3 linked regions of the Notamacropus eugenii genome follow. The protein of the gene in region 3 binds, or shares a complex with, the protein of the main gene of each other region. Links are inferred from orthologs where the notes say so. Each region holds a gene or a part of one and is shown on either strand. Other genes may lie near its edges. The genes, in order: RHO, UNC119 and GNAT1.

Region 1 (6,982 bases), on a different chromosome or scaffold from region 3:
GAACAAGCCAGAGCCATGACCCAAGTGAAGGCGACCCCCATGATGGCATGGTTCTCCCCAAACCTGAAGTTGCTCATTGGCTTGCAGACCACCACATATCTCTCAATGGCCAAAACCACCAAGGACCACAGAGCTATTTCACCTGAAAGATACAATAGAAATGTTTCCAGCTTTAGAGGACCCAGTAGAAAAGCAGGGAGGATGAAAGAAAGGACAAAGAGAGGGAGAGGAAGGAAGGTTGGAGTTCAAGACCCAAATAAATCCGGACATTCTCTTCAGCTCCCTCATAATATTATGCACGATCAGCTCAGTACAAAATTGGGCAAGAGGCAAAATTTCTTTTTCTGCCTTTCATACCCCCACCCCCATTCAGCACCATTTATATCCCAAGTTCTAAAAACTTTCCTGCTGCCCTTGGCTCCAACCCCTTAGCTTGGAAGACATCTGATAAGGTTGCTCTCTGGGAGGTATTAGGGACTTAATTAGATCCTTGCTTAAGGATATTTGCATCTTTAAAGAAGACCCTGGGAAAGAAAGGGTAATGTTTAACCCAAGGGAACAGTGGAATTTCAGGGTCAGGGATCTTTTCTGATCACACCTCAGATAGCATGTGATAACTAACCATTCAGAGACCCTCTTGTATCTCTTCCACCTTCTGGATGCTCCATCACTAACTAAGAGGTAGAAATGGTCTGTTATTCTATATAGAGAAGGCAAGCTGGAAGAAACTGAGACTGTCCCTTCAGAGGAACTTCCCCAGGGATCTCAGCTGTACCCTTCTGTGGCACTCATCCACCCACACCCATATTCCTCTATTGATCTTCTGCCCAGAAGTAGCCCAGGTCTAGAGCTCAGGGGAGCACAGCAGATTCCTACCCATTAGAACTGTTCAAAAATGGAATGAGCTACCTCAAGGGTTGATGAGTTTCCCAACTTTGAAAGTCTTCAAGGAGAAGCTGGAAGACCACTTGTCAGAAATATTTATAGAAGGGAATCTTTTAGGGTATGGGTCAGATGAGAGAGTCAATAAAGTCCCTTTCAATTTCAGATTCTTTGATTCTGTGATTCTCTCTTTGTCTAACAGGCATAATCACAAAATCCTTTCTGAATGCAAAACTCTGGAGTATGCCACACACAGAGATGAGAAAAGACTGCATCCCTGATCTCAGAGAGCTAATAACCCATTGCGGGATGTATGAAAACACAAGCAGACCAAGCAGCAGGGTGTAGACAACTGGATTTGTACTCAGAGGACCTGAATTTTAATTGCAGCTCTTCTCCTCTCTAGATGAGTGCCTTGGACAAGTCTCTCTGACCTTCACTTGCCTCCTTTGTAAAATGAGAAGGTTAAACTTCATAATCATCCAGATACAAATCCTATAATCCCATAATCTATGGAAAACACCTGAAGCACACACTTACAGGGTAGTAACTCCTGTGTGTACCTAAAAGGGCACTGGACCCAAGTTCCACTAACCTTGGATCTAGCCCTGCCACTGGGCATCCTTGGGCAAGTCTCTGGGTAGGGATGGATGTCCTGGAGCCAGCTCCAACCAGCTAATTAGAGCCAATGGCTAAATTTTCAATGTGACCATTTACATCTCAAAAATCTATAAACCAGGGCTTGATCTGTTTGTGTGTGTGCGTGTCTAAACTTAAAAAAATGATGCAGGAAAATGTTAATAATTCAGAGAACTGGTTGTTAAATATTTATCAGCACACCCTTGTCCTGAGACCTTAGTTTCTCTCACCTGTAAACACAACGAGTTGGAATAGATGATCCCAAAATTCCCTTCCAGCCCTAAGCTGGAATCTCTTAAGGTCCCTTTCAGCGTTAAATCTTTGAAATTGTGAAATAGCTCATGCTTCAAGCTTTCCTGGCAAAATGTTGTGAGTGGAAGGGGGATACATTAGCACTGGTTAGAGCTATGTCTATGTCAGATACCTTTACTGTTCTTTCTTCTCTCCAAATCATTCCCCTAAAGTATTTCATTGCTCTGAAAGAGCTCTCAAATACTCCCAGGTCCCTTTCCCATCTTGGAACTGACATGTGTTTGGGGAGAGGGTGGTAGCAACTAAAAAGAGCACTGGATTTCAAGTCAAAGGACCTAAGTTCAAATGCTGGCTTTACCCCTTGCTACCTGCATAACCTCAGACAAATTTCTTCCCCTCTCCTGTTCACAGCTGCCTCACCCGTAATATGACAGGGTTGGTCGAAATGACCTGTGCAACTATAAATCTTTTTTTAAATATTTCTTCCTTTTATTGATCTTTTTAAAAATATTTGTTTTTGATATATCCCTCCTCATTCTTCTATCTACTGAACCATCTCTTGTAACAACAAAGAAAGGAAAACAAGGCTTTCCTTTGAAAAGAAAGAGGAAAAAAAGCAGTTTGGAAATATTAACCAACACCATGACTGTATTCAACAAATTCATGCATTGTTCTACACCCATAATTCCCCACCTCTGCATTTAAGAGAAGGAGGCCTAGCTCTAAGCCTAGAATCTTCAATTCTGCCAGTATCCCCTATTTGACCAACCTCACACACTCAGCCCTAGTCCCGGAGATCTTCTCCTCCCTCTCCAACGATGGATAGACAGGAAGGGGATCTCTTCATCATTTTCCTAGGGAACCACTCACCTCCTGTGGTGGCGAAGAATCCTTCCAGGTTGCAGCCAGTGGGTCCAAAGACAAAGTAGCCGTGCAGGGAGGTATAAAGGGTGGTTGTGAAACCACCAAAAACCATGAAGAGATCAGCAACTGCCAAGTTCAGCAGGATATAGTTCAAGGGCGTTCTCAGTTTCTTGTGCTGAATAGTTACATAGAGGGTGAGGAAGTTGATGGGGAAACCCAGGACAATCAACATGAACATGTAAGCCGCCAGGCAGGAGAACTGCCATGGTTCGGCCAGATAGTACTGAGGCTCCTCAAAAGGGCTCCGCACCACACCAGTCTTATTGGAAAAAGGGACGTAAAAGTTGGGTCCCTCTGTGCCATTCATGGCTGTAGCGCTGCTCTCTCTGCCCTGGGCCTAAAGGGGACTGGCCACTGACAAGGACCTTCCTCCTCTCCTTCCCAGAGTGGGACAAGAGGCTAGATCAGCCACATTAGAAGGAACTGGGAGCTGTGGCTTGAGGTCCTTATAAAGTGACCCCCTCTGGGTAAGCCCTCCTTCTATGGAGTCAGCACCCAGAAGATTCAGGGCATAATTAATCATAATAATCCAGCTAGGTTGGCAAGCACTAATTGGCTTCCCTGGAAGGCACCAAGGTGACTCTTGTTAACTACAGAGACAGGATCTCTTGGAGTGGGAAAGTTTAGGCCTGAGACCCCCCAAGGAAGGGGTCCTGAGGAGTTGAGTGGATCTCATTAATAAGTAGCTCTGGGCCAAGGGTGTCCCATCAAGAAAGGAGAGCTAAAATCATGTAGTGCCTTGGCCAGGGAGCAGCTGTGTGATGCCTGAAAGAAACTAGGCTCAATTAAAAGAACACAAAAATGTTCCTCTCCCCTCGCCCTTGCAGTGTGACTGACTCTTATTCCCCTTTTATTTCCTGGGCAAGGCTGGAATGACCATTTATGGATCCCAAAAGACTGCATTAATTTGCTCAACTATTTTCTGAATGAAAGTGGCCTCTTAAAATGGACAGAAGGGAACAGAAGACCAATGAGACAGGGATGAGACGAGGTCTGGGTGAATGCGAAGCCCATCCTCATTTTGCAAAAGAAGAAGGAGATTTTGTCCACCCCGTCAGACGACTGTTTGGGAGGAGTGACCAAAACTGTTGCCATAGAAGGGAAAGAGGCCTGGATTAGAGAAGGTCCCAGAGCCTGGCTCTAAGAGAACACTCTGTGGACTCAGCAGCGCTCCAGCCTATCTGGGCCTCAGTATCCTTATCTGTAAAATGGAGAGAATACCTACTATCCTGATTGCCTCTCAGGCTTGTGGAGATGCTCCTCATTTGTGAAATGCACTTCCTTTGTGGAAAATGCTTCAAAAAGTACAAACAGCAGCTAACTTGGAGAAATTTCTTCAAGGTCTGGATCTACTTGGACATTTCCTACTTGTCCAATTACAGTGTTGGAGAGTTGCGTGAGAAACCAAGCAACTTACCTATTGAATGGCCCAGGGACCCTACTTGAACCCAGACCTTCCATCCTCCAAAGTCAGTTTTCTATCCTTTCCACCATGCTGCCTGCCACTCCAGAGAGAAAAGGCCGTGTTCCCTAAGCAAATAAATTCAGCTGCGCTTACTCCACCATTCAAGGCACAGTACCAGAAGCAGGATAATACATTGGCCAGAATGTTGTACTTCTGCTCAGGAAGATGGAGGTTCAAATCCCACTGCCAATGTTGACTCCTTCTAGCCTCAGTTTCCCCGCCTATAAAACAGATACAATAATACCTATGGTACAGAAACCACCCAATGGGGTTTTTGTGACGTTTAAAGGAGATCAAGTAATGAAAGCACTTTGCAAACCTGAAAGCACTATATGTCTATTTATTATTATTAATTATTAATGCTTCTCAAACATTTATCAGCTTTCTAGGATACTATAGTTATTTAGAGATAGGATACATCCACTCTCCTAGAATGTGGGCTTCTAGAGGACTTTTAGGGCAGCCAATCAGGCAGGGGCTGAGCAGCCCCTTCAATTTCCAGTTCTTTGTCACTGCAAACAGAGCTGATGTAAATATTTTTGTACATGTACATCCTCCCCCTCCCCTTTTCTTGTTGATGCCACCTAGTAGTGGCATCACTGAGTCAAAGGCAATGGCGTGCTAATGAATGTTTAACAACCGGCTTTCAAGATGGGGGGGATATATGAACAACATATGTTTAAGTGAATTATTAATATTTTCTCCTTTCTTAAGTCTAGAAAAAAACAATAAATGAAGGTATGATTTCTAACATATAAATGCTCACATTGAACATTTAACAATCAGCTCTTCTGCTCTTGGAGCTAGCTCCAGCACAGCCCTGGAAAGTAGATGCACAGTTTAATACTCTGGGGGCATATTTTCAAATTGCTTTCCAGAGTGGATGGACTAGTTCAGAGCTCCACCCACAGTGAACGAATAGACTTATTTTCCCACAGCCCCTCCAGTATTTCATACAAACTGACTCTAACTTACCTTTCCAGTCTTATTGCGCATTATTCCCCTCCAGCCCCTTATAGTTCAACCATGATGACCGTTTTGCTCCTATATACCACATCCACTGTAGGACTTTGGGTCAGTGTTCTTTGATGTCTAGAAAGCACTCACTTCACCTGCCTCTTAACGTTCCTGCTTTCCTTCAAGACTCATCTCAAATTTTCCATGAGATGCTTCCTAATTCTCCCCAGCTGCTAGGGCCTTCCTCTTCCACCCCCAGGTTATCTTGTACCTGCTTTCTTTGTGTGATACATACATACATACACACACATGTGTACAATACCTATATGTATATACATGCATACACATATGTGTTGACTGCATGTGTACATGTAGCTGTAGATGTGTGCACATATGCATATACATGTGTATTTATATGTGCCTGTGTGTGTGTGTTTTGTCTCCCCTGTTAGAGGATAAGGACTTTCATTTTTGTCTTTATAATTCCAGCATTGAGCACAGCTCTTAGCATATAATAGATACTTTTAGAAGTCTTGTTGGTTGATTGATTACATAAATGTTTGCTGCATGAGTGAATATAAAATGTTATTAATTCATCTAAGAAATACTGATTACCTAATATATTTAAGGTACTGTACCAGGTGTGGAGGGGGAGAAGATGAGAGAAGTATGTGTGTGGGGAGGAGGATACACACATATACGCACACACATACATACATATATATACATACACACACATATAGCATATAGCAAAATCCCTGTCCTGAAACAGCTTGCAGGCTAAAACGAGGAGACAAGGCAAGCATACATAAACATAAAAATAACAATAGAAGAAATATCACGAGGAAATTTTTAGACAAAAGTTTCCATGTGGGCAAGGTACATGTGGCCTGGGGTTTTAGGAAAGCTTTTGTGGAGGAGGTGAGATTTGGGCTGAGCCTTGAAGATTGGGAAGGATCCAGTTGGAGAAGGGGAAGAAAGTTTGGTGAGTGACTTGGCAGGGAAGTGGAACAAGGCAGCATGAGCAGAGGACCAGGGTGGAATTGTCATGCATGGTTAGGAACAGTAAATTTTCCAGTCAGGTTGGAGCATTGAGTCTCATTGGCGAGTGTTTAAGGAAAATCTAAGACACTAAGCCAGAGTGTGGAGGACCTTGAATGTCCCCCTGAGAAGGATGGGCTTTATCCTGTGAGCAGTGGGGAGTCACAAAAATTCAAAGTGTTCTTGTCTTCATTATTTTCACATCTTTGTTGTTGGTTACCCTCAACCTGGCTCATCTGCCAAGATGATCTGTGTGGTTGCTGTGTCTGCTACAGTTTCTTGGAACCACAGGTAAGAGATGGGTGACAGATGGGCACCCAAGGTGTATAAGCAGCTCTGAAAAGGGCTTGGCAAACCCTCACACCAGAGGTGGTAGTCTGCCTCAAAGCCATCAGTGAGTTAGAGATGTCTACCCCAAGCAAACAAAGACTTCCCCACATAGAATGGGCAGATGAGAACATTTGTTCCAAGGGCCATGAAGTTGGCTAAAGCAGGCACCATGGAGCGCCTAGAGTTTGGTCAGACATCAAAGATGCCAAAGTCACCTACTGCATCCTGGTCATCTTGACATCTTTGTCTTGCCACTGGACTTCACTAACTCTGGAAGAGTGAGGCTAATGACTTTGCACAACTGCCTCTCTTTAATCCAATGATGTCATTGGTCCTTTTCAGAAATGAAGAACAAACAGCAACCCTTTTGTATCTTTATGGAACTGGTCTCTGAGAAACTCATGAGACCTGACAGATTCCATCTTAAACGAGGGGTTGGAGGGAGGGAAAGGAATCACGGTACAATGGACTAAGACCTAAACTAAGAGTCTG
Region 2 (7,324 bases), on a different chromosome or scaffold from region 3:
TGGTGTCAGCAGCCAAGTGGGAGAGGGGGGAGGATCTTATGAATCTCTGGGAGATTGGGAGAAGGGGGAGGTGTGGGGGTAACAAGGGTAAAGGACAGGAGCAGAGCCCCACTGGTTAACTGCTCATTCTCCAGATGGGACCCTGGGGATCAGGGTTAGGGGGTCTCAGAACTGAAGGGAAGAAGGAAGTTTGGGAGGGATAAATGAATGGGCTGACTGAAAAGGAGAGGAGGGCTGAGGACAAAAGCAGGGTTCCTTCCACTGGCTGGTTTGGCTTTGGGGTTTTTTGGTTTTGTGTATTTTGGGTTTTTTTTTTTTAGATAAGACTGAGGTGAGTCAGCTAGACTAAGACAAGAATAAGGTCTTCTTGAAAGAGAGAAGGGTTATTTTGCTGACCTGAGTTAGCTCTTCCACTTACAACATGAGTGACTTTGGACCAGTCCCTTAATTTCTCTGGACCACAGTGGCCTCATCTGTAAAAGGAGGGGCTTGGAGAAACCCATTCCTAATGTCTCACAGGTTAGTTTTAAATCCTATGATCCTATGAAATCGACTTTCGCTATCAGCACAGAAAATAAAATGTGAGTCAGGAGGGACTGAGATCAGACCCAGAGAAGGACTTCCTGTTTGGTTTCTGTCTTTGTAGTCCCATGGCTCACTATGGCACCTGGAATGCAGGAGGAATTCAGTACAAGTTGAATGAATGAGTGGCCTAGAGGATGAGCTAGGTCCTGGTGCCCCATCCTCGGCTGAGGAGGCTGGCCAGAGGCTGGAGTCAAACCAGACAAGTCCAGGAGAAAGGCAAGGAATGCAAGACAAGATGGGAGACCTCGAGGCTCCATGAGCCCACTCCTCAACAGTAGCTGTTTCAAGCATCCTCCAAGTCTTCTGCACAGGGAAATTCCTCCTTAGAGCTGACCTGCCTTCTGCCTATCACAACTTAAGCAGAAACCCTTTCCTTAAGCCCTTTCCATTAGATAAGGGCTCCTTGAGGGCAGGGCCTTTCTTTGTATCCCCAGTGCTTAGGGAAGTGCCTGACACATAAAGGTGATTAATAAATGCCTGCAGACAGACTGATGGATCTCTCTCCCTGGTCTAACCACATCCAGCACCATATACACATTTTCCTGTTTCTTTTCAGTCTGGGTCAGAATGCCCAGTGTCCCAGGGGAACAGTCCAGCCTAGGCAGGTCCTTCCTTCTGTGTTAGGCCCCAAACTCCAGGGTAAGTGGCTGATTGAGAAAGAAGTTCAGGGAGATAAAGGAGGAAGGAGTCTACTCCAGCTTAGGGTAAGAACAGGCCAGATTGGTCTCGAAAGCAAAGAGAAGAATCCTTGGGGAAGCCCACCTCTAGTAGGACACTGTGTGGCCCAAGCCACATCACATACTAGACCCTACCCCACTCACCCTCCTTACCTAAGCCAAAGAGGTCTAGACTGGCCAGGGTTCCACAGGGTTCCACCTGGGTTCCACGCCTTGGACCCTTGCAAAGGGGCCCAGGGCCAAGCCTTGCTCCTACCTAGCTTCTCAGGCTGTAGTGAAAGACCTTTCCCCTCCACCCTGGATGGTGGGAAAACAGAGGTGTCCCATCCTGTCTCACCCTTTCCCACAGGCTCTCTGCCTTGTGACTTCATCTGAGCCCTCTTTTTGGCCCTTAGCAGAGACTGCTTAGTGACATACCCTGTACCAACCATTATGTAACGTTTAATGGGTGTGAGCTGTCTCATCAGCCCGGCTGGGAGCTCCTTGAGAGATGAGATTGCTTTACATAGCTAGGCATCCCTGTATACAGTAGGCACTCTCTTTTGATTATGGACATACTCCCTGTCTCATTTCTTTTTCCAGATATCAGGATCCTGGAGGAGGAGAAACTGAGGCCTCAAGATCATCATTTCAGGAGCATTCTGTGATACCTAGCTCCAGGACCCAGAATTCCCTGATGGTAACAGTCAGCCAACTCAACAGATGCCCGGTGGCAGCAACCAGGGGGTTACAGGTAGACCTGCCCCTAGCCTGGAGTCTCCAGAGACAGCTTCAAAGTCAGGTGCAAACACCCCCCAAATGCTTGTCTAGGGACTAGAAGATGACAGGGAATACTTGGGCATACAGTAGCCCCTCTGTTGCCATAAAAAGGCTATCCTGAGGTGCTCTCTTGGACTGGGGGGGTATTGGGCCACTGGCTTAAGACAGAGAGATTAGTGTTCAGGGTCACCTCATTGACCTCAATCCCTAACAAGTAGATCAGAGACTGCTCCCGGGCTGGGAGGAGGGGCGTGTACCTGGAGGGTCCTGCCAGCCCAGGTCTCCCCCGCACGAACTGGTATTTTACCCCAAAGTGCCTCCCCTCCCCCCAATCCTAATGCCCAGACGTGGTGAGGGTCCACTCAGCAAGTACTGGGCCCTCCTTGAAAGTCTAGGTCTGATCTAGAACCTTGCTGGGCAACGCAGCTAATTCACCCCATAGCAAAGAGGGTACAGGAGGAAAGGAAAGACCACTGCCCTCACTGCCTTGCCCCGTTCAGTCTAAGTGGAAACGGGGGCAGGGGCCAAGCCCATAGTGAGCAAAAGGCAGCTCCCAGGAGGGAGGATGGAGAAGAGAAGGTAGGACAGGGTCTGAGGTGGAGAGAATGGGTGGGGCGCAGGGAGCGGAGAAGAGGATGGAGGGGCGCGGCTAGAGCCCACGGATGGGGTGGAGATGATGGGGCTGGGGCCGGGGAGGTGCGCGCAGAGTGCATGGTCCAGGAGCCTCCCTGGGGACGCAGCCCTCCTCCCCAGCCGCCCCCCACGCCCCGGAGCCCCCCACGCCTCCCTCACCGCACGTGATGCGCTGGAGCCCCAACACATCTTCGGGCCCGATCAGCGCCTTCCTCCGCAGCGCCAGGGGCTCCGGCTCCGATCCCGCCTCGTCGTCCTGGCTGCCCGTGGCCCCTGGCCCGGGGTCCGACCCAGCCGCGGCCCCGGCCCCGCTGCCGTCTCTCTTCACCTTCATGGCCCCGCTCCCGGCCCCCGGCTGCCCCTCGCACCGCCGCGGCCGTCCGGAGCCCGCACAGCGGGGAAGGGGAGGCAGCGCGATCTGCCCGGGTCTGTCCGGCCCAGCCTGGCCTCTCTACTTCCCCAGCCCCCCACCCTCCCCCCGCGGCTCCTGGCCCCGCCCCGCCCCAGGTACCTGCTCTCTGCTCCACCCCAAGGCCCGCCTCGCTGCGCGCCCCTGGACCTACATCCCCAGCCTTCCTCCCTCGGCGCCTCTCCCTTCGCATGCCCTGCGCTCGTCCCTTCTCCCCACCCCCAGACTTATCTCCGAGTCCCCCTCCCCCCACCTCGCCGCTTCACCCCGAACGCGCAGGGAACACCCTCTCCCCCAGTGCCAGCCTCAGTGGGAGGGGAAAGGACAGTCCACTTGGGAAAGCAGATGGCTCAAAATAACGTTCAGAGCTGGCACCAGGGCCTGGGCGTGCGTGGGAGAAGGGTGAGGACCATTCTGAGCAGGGTCCCTCCCTAAAGGGGAACAAAGAGATCTCTGAAATCCCATCCCAACCGGCCTCTAAGGCCCCAAGGGGCGCCTCTCATCCTGTGTCCCTACCGGACCACCCCCAGGAAGTCAGGCTTAAGGTCTCGGAACCAAGGCTGCCCGTGCCCCACTCCAGAAAAAAGACTAAGGGGAGACACTGAAGAGATGTAGGGGGAGGCAAAGCTGGATTTTCGAGGGCCCAGTTCAACCAACTGAAGTGGATGGGGGAGGGAACAGGGCACCCAAAGGCCAGATGGCATTTTGCTTCGGCAGTGCCAGTTCTGGGAGCAGGGGAAGGGAAATTACGAAGGCCAGAGCTGTAGAGGCCAATCTCCCTTCTTCAGTCCAGGAGGCTGAGGCTCAGGCCCACCTGCTGTGCCAGACAGCAGAGGGCAAGGGGAAGGCCAGAGAAAAGGACTGGCAATCTGTTGCAAACCTCTCCTAAGGGGATATCTACGGCTTTCCCCCACCCAAGGGGGCAAAAGGAGCCCCAACCTGGGCAAGGCCAAGTGATTCCAGGCCTGCAGCTAGTGATGCCTAAGCCATCCATAAGGAGGCTGAGAAGGGGGAGTGATTTCATAGAACAGGGGTTCAGCCATCACTTCTAAGGGAACACCGGCAAATGTTGGTGCTTTTTTGCCTGGAGCAAGGCAATGATGAGGAGTCTCCCATTCCATACACTTGGGGTGGTTTCCTCCACCCTGAGTCTTTCTCTGTCCAAGTTTGCTGAGACACGTGAATCATTGGCCCAGTAGCAGTGTGCCACCATTCCGTACCCTAAGAGCCTCAGTTTAAACCAAGAAGTGAATAAAACATGGGCAATTCATGGAGGGCCAGAAGACTCCTAAGACTTTTATTTCCTTTTCAGTTTCCTCTCTTTCTTTCCCTTTACTCTCCCAACCCACCAAGTTGGCTGATCCCTTATGAGGGAATTGAATGAAAGAGGTCCTGGGCAGAGCACTTCTTGGAGGCCCTTCCCTTTGCCCACCCACTCTCCCACCCACCCAAAGGCCTGGCCTCTGAACATAAGGACATGCAAGTAAGGACAGAGAAGAGTGAGGTTGTCCAGAATGGGGCCAGGCCACTCCCAAGAGCAGAGATTCATCTGCTCTCCAACTTGCCCCTCCTTTCCTGAGGGAGCACTCTGCCCCCTCACACACTCAGTCCACCTTCTCAATATCCTTCCTGACTTTTTGGTTCTCCACAATAATCTTGATCATGGAGAGAAAAATGGGCACCGCCATGGGCAGGAAGAGGGGGATGTAGATGGCGAACTTCTGGTCATCAGGAAAGTAGAGGAGGTGGAGAAGGGAAGGGTCAAAGAAGGCCTTCTCAGAGGAAGTCACCGCCTCTTGGCTGGCTCGGAGAGCAGGCTTCAGGTTCCCTTCAGACAGCGCCACTGCCGCCTCGTGGAAGGCGTCCACTGCCCGGTACACCTGGGCAGGAAGACACTGATCAGCAGAAGGGCCTAAGCTAGGCCAGGGGAGGGGAGAGACAGCAGTTTAGTGTCTGCATGCCACTGACGTCCTGGGTCACTCTGGGAATTCACTTAAAAGGACATCCAACACCCTCACCTAACCCAGGAAGGGGAAGGGCAAAAATACAGGGTGATCCCATGGGCTACTCTGAATCCCTCCAGGTATCACCAGGATTCCCTGGGGGGCTACCAATGCCCTTCACAACACCATGCAGAGGCTGCATAATCATCACAGGACTCAGGAGGCTGGAGGTGCCACCTGAATGGGTCCCTTCCCCATCCTACAGATGAATAACTTCCACCTTGGGATTCTCAATCTGTTGAGTCAGATGCCCTCTGCTAAGTCAAGTCTTTCCCCGACTCTCATCCCTACCAACCTTAGCCCATAAGTTCCCTCCATCCTGCCACTCAGGAAACCCCTGGCCCCATCCAGTGTCACACACACAGACACAGACAGACACACAGAGACACAAACAGACACACACACACACCCAGAAAGATCCCACTTATTCCATGTTTCTCATGACCACTTCCAGACCCTCCCTCCACATCATTCCCCTTTCAGCTTCATTCAATCCTTCTAGATCACTTGGACCAAATTCTTGTTGCTATTAACACTCCTGTCTCCAGGCTATATACTCTGTCCTTTCCCAAGGGATTCAATCCTCGTTCAGTCATCATCTTCACCCCAAGACCTGCACCCCATACTTGGGGACTTTAATATACATGCTGATGTTCCCTCAAGCATCGAGGGTTCTCCAGTGCAGGGAGAGATTAAATGACACACCAGAGAGAAGAGAGCCCAGGACAAAGACTTGAGATGCCCATAATTAGTGCATGGGGGTTGGCTGAAGATCTGACAAAGGAATCCAAGGAGGGTTTAGGAACCAACCTTAACCCCCTACATTCACCGTCATTTCAATTCTGCTGCTCAGAGGGGTGCTCATACTTTAAATTGCACCATCACCCATAATGGTGCCAACTCCAATTCCAGAAGATAATGCCCCATCCTTCCATCTCCACCTGCTCCAATCCTCCTCCGTCTCTTCATCTGTCCTCCAAATCCATCCCCTGTGCCTGGGCCTCCTTTCTCTCCCCTTAAAGTCTTCCCCTAGAGATGCCAGCTTGGCTGGAAACATCCTCAACCAGTCAATGGCCAGGCCCACGTCCATCTGCTTTCCATGCCCTGACATTAGTGTTGCTGAACATTGGCAGACAAAGCACCCAAGTGAATGTTCATCTCACCTGGGCCTTCCAGCCCAGTGCCACTAGTCTGATTCTTCCAGCTTGATTCGATCACAAAGCAGTTCCAAACCTTCCCTCTCCTCCCTCCTGAACTCCCTCCTCTTCCCCATGACAGCTAGGTGGTGCCATGGTGCACAGAGCACTGAACTTCAGACACCTATTAACTGTGACCATGGGGAAATCACTTCACCCGACTGCCTATTTTGACATTTAAAATGGGGATGGAAAAGCACCAACCTCCCACAGTTATCATGAGGATAAAATAAATTAATATATATGCTCACAGAGGGCTATATGAGCTCCACCCCTCCTACTACACACCTCAAAACTCCTGCACATTCATGTAGTCTCTTCTGACTCAATCTCCGAGAAAGCAGTGGTCCTTTCCTTTGCCAAGGCTCCATCTATACCTCTGAGCCTCCTCTTCCCTCCTGTCTCAGTCTCTGACTTTCTATCTGGTCCACTCCCATTCATAAAAAAATCTCCACTAGACCCGTCATCCCCTTGAACTATTACCTTCTCTCTCTCCTTTCCCTTTCAATGTACTAAGATGCTAGAAAGAGTGGTCTCCTTTCACCCCCTTCCTCCCAACCCCTCTACTCAACCCAAGCTGTTCTCCCCAAGGTTACTGACAAGCCTGAACCACTAAGTTCCATGGTACTTCTTCTGCCCCTACCTCCTAGGCTTCTGCACCCTTTGCCCACCCTTCCTTTCCTTCTGAATACTCCTCCCCTCCCTGGGACATGGTCCTCTCCTGAGAATTCTCTGCCAGCTTTTAAGCCAGCTCCCACACACTAATCATGGGCATCTCTTAAGGCTTTGTCCTGGACCCTCTTTTCTTGTGTCATTCAAGGGTTGCTGGCAATCTCCTCAGCTCACATGGCTTCAATTATCAACCCTACATAATGACTTCCAAATTATAAACCCAGTACTAATAAGCTCCTCCCCTCATCTCTGGCCCTGAACTGATGTTCTCCAGGATGTTCCCCCACACTCTGTCCAAGGTGCTGCCGTCCTTTCATAAACTCCATCCCCCTGATATGGTCCTGCAGGTTCTGTTCCCTTCACCTGTCTCCCATCCATCTGCTTTCCTTG
Region 3 (7,210 bases):
TAGGGCAGAGTGAATGTGAGCGGGGGTTTAGCCTCCTCTCCCTGAACCTCCCCTTTACCCCCCAGAGTATTTTCTGCTACAGGGAAAAAGCTGAGTTTCCACATTATTTACCTCAAGAGAGAGGCAACTAAGTGATTCAGTAGCTAGTGCTGGGCTTGGAGTCAGGATAAAGTGAGTTTGAATCTTAATTCAGACACATACTAGCTGTGTGACCCTGAGCAAGTCACTTAACCTCTGTTTGCCTCAGTTTCCTCATCTATAAATTTGGGGATAATAAAAACACCCACCTCCCAGGATTGCTGTGAGAATCAAATGAGATAATCCTTGCAAAGCACTTAGCACAGTTCTTGGCACGTAGTAAGAGCTACATAAATGCTAGCTATTATTATTCTTATAAAAATCACTTGGCAAACCTTAAAGATATTATTGTCATTATTAATCCAAAATTCCATTGTAGTAAGCAGGGCAATTTTGGCCAACCTCCCTTGAGTCCCACCTCTGGGTAGTCTGCCAGCAGAGCGCTTGGTTTCTCAGGGGCTATGCCAGAGGAAAGAAGAATCTCGCAATTTCCACCAGGGTGGAAGGGACCATCAGGTGATAGAGTCTGGGGTCCCAAGACCAACCCTGTTAAGAAGGGAGAGGCTGGCCGCTAAAGGACAAATTCTCTGGCCCTGGTGACCCATGAAACAATACAACAAACATGCTCTGGGAATGTGTGTGAGAGAGAGCCAGACCTTTGTAATTCAATACCCAACACATTTTAAATGTCCTTGGGGAGTTGGGCTAGCTGAAGAGTCCTGTAGACCACAGTGAAATGAAGATCTGAGGCTCTTGGGAGCTTAGAATTGGAAGGGACCCTGGGGTCATCTAGTCTAGTCTCCTTATGTTACTGAGCTCAAGGGAAGGGAAGTGACTGGCCCAAAGTCACATGAAGATCAGGGACGGGAACACGGCAGCTCTGACCCCAAACCCAATGCTCTTCCCACCCAAGTAGGTCAAATCCTTCTTTAAGGTCATGGCTGCCTCCGATGTATCTGTTTAGTAAATGGGTTTGTTTGTTGTTCAGTCCTGTCCAACTCTTTGTGACCCCATTTGGGTTTTCTTAGCAAAGATACTGGAGCAGTTTGACATTTCCTTCTCCAGCTCATTTTAAAGATAAGGAAACTGAGGCAAATGGGGTTAAGTGACTTGTCTAGGGTCACACAGCTAGTGAGTGTCTGAAGCCAGGTTTGAATTCAGTGAAAGGAAGAGAGATCTATCCACTGCACCACCCAGCTGCCCTGGATTATGTAGATGGAATTTGCTTAGAGTGAGCTGACTTTTATTCTTATTACAAAAGAACTCCCCCCAAGAGCTCTGGCTTTACAGAGTGCTACTCCAGTGGTGCATTTAACTGTGTGCGGAGCAGATTATTTGTTTACAGATACAGAAAACCAGGTACACCAGGGAATTGTCACGCTTTAAGAACGGGCTTTGTTACTTGCTGTGTGACCTCTAGCAGCTCAGTTAATCTCTCTGGGCCTCACGCACTAACCTCTTATGTAAAATTTGGAGTTGGATTGTAAAGTCTCTAAGATGCCTTTTGGCTCTGACACGCTGTGATTCTCAGGATTTCCTCATCTATACAATGGGAATGATAATCCCTGCCCTGAGACTTACCTTAGGCAGAAATGAGGCCCAAAGGAGTAACCAATCTGCACATGCTCCGTAAACTAAAACGTCCATACATGCATGGTACCTTGACATTATTGAGCTATAAACCTGATTTACATTGAGGTTCAAAGCCAGAAGCAACCTTACAATGACAGTACACATTGTCTCTAGGACCCGGGCTTTGGCTGCTGTGGGAACCTAGAGAGATGAGAGTTCTCTCTAAATTATTTGAGAGGTTAACTGACTTTCCCACAACACATAGCTGGGAAACGTGAGAGGTGAGATCTGAATCTCATTATTCCCAATGCCAGCCAGGTCTAGCACATTCACCACCAACTGCTGTCCCCTTCGTTTTCCACATACTAAGAACTTAAGCCATGTTTTTTAACTTGAATTAAGTTGAATAGAAGTGAAAGGCATCTTAGAACACAGAAAGTGGTTTTAGAGATGATCTAGGCAGTCCCTTGTGGTGATGAAGAAGAAAATAAGGTCATGGGGAAAGGGAGTTGTCCAGCATCCCACAGCGTATTAGTTATTGATTTGGTACCCCAACCCAGCTCTCCTTGATTTATAAACCTTCTTAGAAGCCTAGAGATGGCCTCAAGTAGAGCCCCTGGTCTTCCCAGCACCCCCAGAAAAAACATTCCACTTTTGGGAGAAGGGCCAGGGATGGTGGAGGCCACTATTAGATTAAGGGGCTACTTTTGCTTTCTCCCTCTATTCATTTGTTGCTTGAACATTTGGGGTGCCTGTTATATCCATAATCCAGTGACAGAAGCAGTCTAGACTGGCCAGATAGCTTAAATGGTAATTATTTTCTTGGCAAAATGTTCTCAGATAGGCTGAGGGTGGGAGTGGGGGTGATTATTTTTTTACAAAAACTTCTCTGGTTAGAAGCTACTATGCTTTTTTATAAAAGGGTTTTCTCTTTCTAGAAAGAGTCTTTCAGAACTCCCATTACAAGATTGAGAATGAGGCTCAGTTGTCACCAAGCTGTCTGGGTTTTCACCAATCCAAAGGAAGGGACCTCTGGAACCCCTGCCTAGCCTATCAGGAAGGGGACAGCATCCCCTCTATCCAGATTTCTTTTCATTGAAAATGTAGGATTTCCTTGCAATGGAATTCCTTGCAATTTCCTTCTTGTCATCTGGGAGGCCTGAAAGGACTTGCCCATTTTCCCACCTCCCCAGGTCTGTTGAAGATCCCTGCCCCAGGGCCCCCCTCAATTTACCCAGTAGAAGCAACTTCACTGTCCTGGCATCTTTCTCGGCATCTTCCTTTAGTTTCTTTTCCAATTCCCTTGAGTGTTTCTCCTCAGCGCTGGCTCCAGCCCCCATCTTGCTGGCCGGGGTAGGGTAAGAGGGTGGTCTAAGAGGCGGAAAATGTGGACCTAAATCTTCTGTGGAGATGGGACCTTCACACCTCGGGCTTAGCCCGGGGCCCCTGGCCCTCTTCCCTGGTACCTTCTTGGTCCCAGGAAGTTCGAGGACAGAGTGAGTGGGGTCCTTCCATATCTCCCTCCCGCTGGGGACTGCTTAGCAGGATTTAGGGGCAAAGGGGCTGCCTAGGAACCAATCAGGGCCAAGGACAGGTGAATCCGGCTCAGGAGAGCCCCTGTCCCCCTCCTTCCCCAGACATAATCAGGCAGTGGCCCTGTCCCCAATCCCTTACAAGCTGACTCTGTGCTTTCCCCCTTACCTCCAATCTGGGGGCCAGGGAGTTAAAGCATCTTCCTTCTCAGTCCTGGAGAGAGAAGAAGCTTCCCCCACTGACATAGGGATTGTCTTTTCTAGGAGTCAAGCATGAGCCCTTAGCACAGTTCTTTGTACACAGTAAGCGTATAATAAATGCTTTTTAAATTCATTTGTTAGAAGAAGCCAGAAATAACCTTGAACCTGGAGGTTAGCTCCGATCCCCTCCCTGGACCACCCCCAGAGTTCTCCATGGAACCTTGCAGAGACCCTACTCCTCCCCATCAACCACAAAACTGGGACTCAGGAGGGGGACCTGAGGAGTCTGTCCCCTACCCTACATCTTGCCCTCCCCAAAGTATTGGCAGACAGAGCCTTCCCCATCTCTTCAAGGTGATCATGGGACATGTGCTTGGACACCTTGCTCTTAGACTCCTTCCTGGGGGGGTGATTGAACCTCAGGACACCAGATCCTGGGTGTAGGGACAGGAGGTCCTGTGACAGAATGACCATGAACCAGAGTGCTGTGCCTGTGTGCACATGACTGTGTGTGACAGCATCTGTAATGTCATTGTATGTCTACATGTAACTATGTGTGTCTAGATTTGAATCTGCAAGTATGTGTGTCTGTGTACATTTATGTGATCCATTAGGTCTAGTTGGGTGGAAAGAGGGAACTGGTATTTAAAAGCACCTACTGTGTTTTGTAAGTATTATCTCGTTTATCCTCAGAACAACCCTGGGAGCTGGGTGCTACGACCTCCTTTTTTAAATTGAAGATACAGTCATTTGTCCAGGTCACATGGCTAGCAAGTATCTGAGACCTGATGTGAGCTCATATCTTCTTCATTTTCTCAGGACTGCAAAAATATTTTTTATTTTGAATATGAAAATGAGCAACAAACATACATTTTAGTACAGATGAACAAGAAAGAAGATTATATAAGAAAGTGTGAACTGTTCTATACACTAAAAAAGAAAAACACATGTCACATGTATGTAATACATATATAGATACATTTTATATACATCTATACCTATATATCTATATATATCTCCATGCCTTCTCATTCCGTGCAACTTTTATCCATATTGTTCCCAGAATATCAAGGACATATATATATATGCATGCATGTATGTATGTAGACACGCATATATACATGTATACATGTTATATATAAATATAATAAATAAATAATCTAAAAAAATGTGTGTGTCTACATTCATGACATTCCAAAAGTCTTCATGCAGTTCTAAGCTATAAAACCTTACAGAAGAAAACAAGCTGAACCGTTGCAGAGTGAAATGAGAAGCACAGTCTGGAGAATGGTTTACAGGACGACTGCAGTAATAATGCAAAAGAGGTCAGCTTGGGAAGAATTCAGAATGCCAACGAGCTCATATCCTCCTGACTCCAGGGCTGGCATTTGATGCACTGCCCCACCTAGCTGACCTTAGAGGTCATCTATTCCAACCCCCTTATTTTATAGAGGCCCAGAAACTGAGGCCCAGAAAGAGGAAGGTCACTTAGCAAATTAGTGGCAGAACCACTAATGGACTCCCAACCTAGGGCCCTTTCACTATACCAAGGATAAACTCAACCAACATTTTCTGAGCACCTCCTGTGTGGGGTCCTTGATCTAGGCACTGCAGAGGAATACAGACATAGATTAGACTCACGACCTATCTTTAGGGAACTGGAGTCAGTGGGAGGAGGCAGAGCAGGCACAGACCTGAGTCCCACTCCCAGGGAAACCACACTGGACCTGGAGCAGGCATGGGAAGAACAGATCCAAACCCCATCTCCAGGGAGTTCCTAGTCTGGAGGAGAAAAAAGATCACACACCCCAAAACACTTCCATTGGTAGCTCCATGATCCTCCAGGCTCTTCTCATTCTGTGCAACTTTCATCCATATTGTCCCCAGAATATCAGGAATCCACCCAATAAGTGGGAGGCTTCCTCTGGTTCTTTTAATATCTTAGGGGCTTAGCATTTAGACAGTCCATCTGGCATCTCTCGATCTCAATGCGTGTCTTTTCCCCAAAATACAAGTCCTTGGTAATGTCTTTCCTGTTACTTCTCCATTTCATTTTTTTCCCAACACAGCCAACATTTGACATATACCTACTTTGTGCAGAACACCATGTTAGGTGCAGAGGGAGATAGAAAGTTTAGTTCCAATATGAGCCCTACCCCCATTAAGCTTATGGTTTAATAGCAGGATGTGACTTGCACACAAGTTCAATTCTTTGATGTATGTGACCTGATCAATGTGAGTATTCCCACCAATGAGGCATGCCCTCTCATCCTGGGTAACTCTTCTCTGTGTCCTCCCACTGATTCTCTAAAGGGGGTCTAAACGAATGGGATGGGGACCGTCTAGTTCTTTTGACATTGCATGAATATCAATGGAGTTGTCCATTGGTTCATGACCAGATCACCCTCTTTCCCGGTTACCTATCTGTCTAGTGACATTCTCTGGCAAAATTCTTAGCAATAAACAACTCTCTGACATTATAGTATGGCCAGGTGTGTATAGCACTCTGTATATACACAGCAAGATTTTTCCATTGTCCTTTGGTGCATTGATCACTTGGGTTCTCTCCAGATTAAGGCATCCCAGGATCTTTTGGAGGCCATAAAACATGACAATTTTGGTAGTGGTAAACAGGAGGTCATTGAAAGATCCGACATTTTCCTAAATGGAATCTTCTCCCATCTTCTTCAGCTCAAGATGAGACCATAGGCTCATAGGCTTCACAACTCGAGTCCAATCCCCTAGTTTTACAAAGGAGAGAATGGAAGTGACTGATCTAAGGTCACATTGGAAATAATTGGCAAAGCTGGGATTCTAATGTGAGTCCTCTGACTACGTAAATCCGTGTACTCTTGTCACGACACCAAGCTGATTTTCTTTTAGTCCTGATTCCGTCACGGACATTAACATGAGGTGTGACCTTGAACAAGATTCTTCTGCCCTCTCTGACTCAGTTTCCCCATCTGTAAAATGAGAAGCTTGCCCTCCAGTCCTAACTCTTCGGCTGGGTTAATTTCCTCTCATGGCTCACTTGGCCTTGCCATCTTGCTGAGGAGTCTACGTGGTCACTAGAGGGCACCAAGTGCTCAGAGACAGAGCCCTCTCCGAGGCTCACTACAGTCCAGACTGAGTCAGGCTAGCCTCAATTTACCCTAAATGCACTTTTACCTTTAAAAAGTTGGCCATAAACTGAAATTTATGAAAATCAAATCTTGCCTTCTTCAGATATTCATTGGAGAGATGCCATAGCTTTCTTATTCTTCTCTATTTTCCCTCATATTTCTTAGAGGACTTTCTCTTCCTTTGTCCCATTGGCTTTTCCAAATAGCCAAGCACTTTATAATTAATTATAAAAACATAAATAATTATAATTTATAATTATAATTAAGGAATCTCAGACTCTGAGGGGTTCATAGGATCATAAATCTACAGCTAGAAAAGACATGAGACCATCTAACCCAACCCTCTCATTTTGCAAATGAGGAAACTAAGTCTCAGTGAAAAGTTATTTATCCAAAGTCACAGGTACCATATAGAAGGATTGGGACTCCTATCTGGGTCTTTTGGCTTTCGATCTTGGGTTCTTTCCATTATTTTCTACTAGCTAGCACTTTTAGGGTGAAAGAGAGGGCTTCCTGACTCTGTCCTGATGCTACTGTCCCTTCCAGCCCCTGCCCCACCTTCTCTCAGGAATTGGGAATAAGTTCAGATGGCACCACTCAGGCAGGCAATGTCAGGCTGACTGACCAGAGCTTCGCCATGGCCCATTCCTCTGAGGGCACTTGAGCTCGGACTATAGACTGACCAATGCCCGTGAGCTCCCTCAT

Evidence for each region.
Region 1: the proteins of GNAT1 (region 3) and RHO are in contact, whole or in part, in a cryo-EM structure (PDB 6OYA), measured with the Bos taurus proteins. The link is inferred for Notamacropus eugenii from reciprocal best matches to the Homo sapiens genes GNAT1 and RHO. Residues at the interface, in NP_851365.1 of Bos taurus: Ala27, Arg28, Asp189, Leu190, Val312, Glu314, Tyr316, Asp333, Ala334, Asp337, Ile340, Lys341, Asn343, Leu344, Lys345, Asp346, Cys347, Gly348, Leu349, Phe350; in NP_001014890.1 of Bos taurus: Leu72, Arg135, Val138, Val139, Lys141, Ser144, Asn145, Phe146, Arg147, Val230, Ala233, Gln236, Gln237, Ser240, Thr242, Thr243, Lys245, Ala246, Glu249, Val250, Met253, Met257, Asn310, Lys311, Gln312.
Region 2: the proteins of GNAT1 (region 3) and UNC119 are in contact, whole or in part, in a crystal structure (PDB 3RBQ), measured with the Homo sapiens proteins. The link is inferred for Notamacropus eugenii from reciprocal best matches to the Homo sapiens genes GNAT1 and UNC119. Residues at the interface, in NP_000163.2 of Homo sapiens: Gly2, Ala3, Gly4, Ala5, Ser6, Ala7, Glu8; in NP_005139.1 of Homo sapiens: Asp87, Phe88, Val89, Arg90, Phe91, Ile105, Lys106, Lys107, Gly126, Arg127, Phe128, Val129, Tyr131, Phe137, Val147, Glu163, Leu172, Ser218, Tyr220, Asn230.

Annotation. Positions count from the first base shown.
Region 1 is NC_092874.1:431,909,431-431,916,412, forward strand, and holds the start of RHO (rhodopsin), read right to left. Parts: upstream 3,005-6,982; coding exon 2,644-3,004; intron 143-2,643; coding exon 1-142. UniProt on the Homo sapiens protein: Photoreceptor required for image-forming vision at low light intensity. Required for photoreceptor cell viability after birth.
Region 2 is NC_092873.1:35,937,813-35,945,136, forward strand, and holds the start of UNC119 (protein unc-119 homolog A), read right to left. Parts: upstream 3,096-7,324; 5' UTR 2,989-3,095; coding exon 2,814-2,988; intron 1-2,813. Other genes in the region: PIGS (GPI transamidase component PIG-S), read right to left, coding at 4,668-4,943. UniProt on the Homo sapiens protein: Involved in synaptic functions in photoreceptor cells, the signal transduction in immune cells as a Src family kinase activator, endosome recycling, the uptake of bacteria and endocytosis, protein trafficking in sensory neurons and as lipid-binding chaperone with specificity for a diverse subset of myristoylated proteins.
Region 3 is NC_092872.1:5,370,778-5,377,987, forward strand, and holds the start of GNAT1 (guanine nucleotide-binding protein G(t) subunit alpha-1), read right to left. Parts: upstream 3,021-7,210; 5' UTR 2,991-3,020; coding exon 2,885-2,990; intron 1-2,884. UniProt on the Homo sapiens protein: Functions as a signal transducer for the rod photoreceptor RHO. Required for normal RHO-mediated light perception by the retina.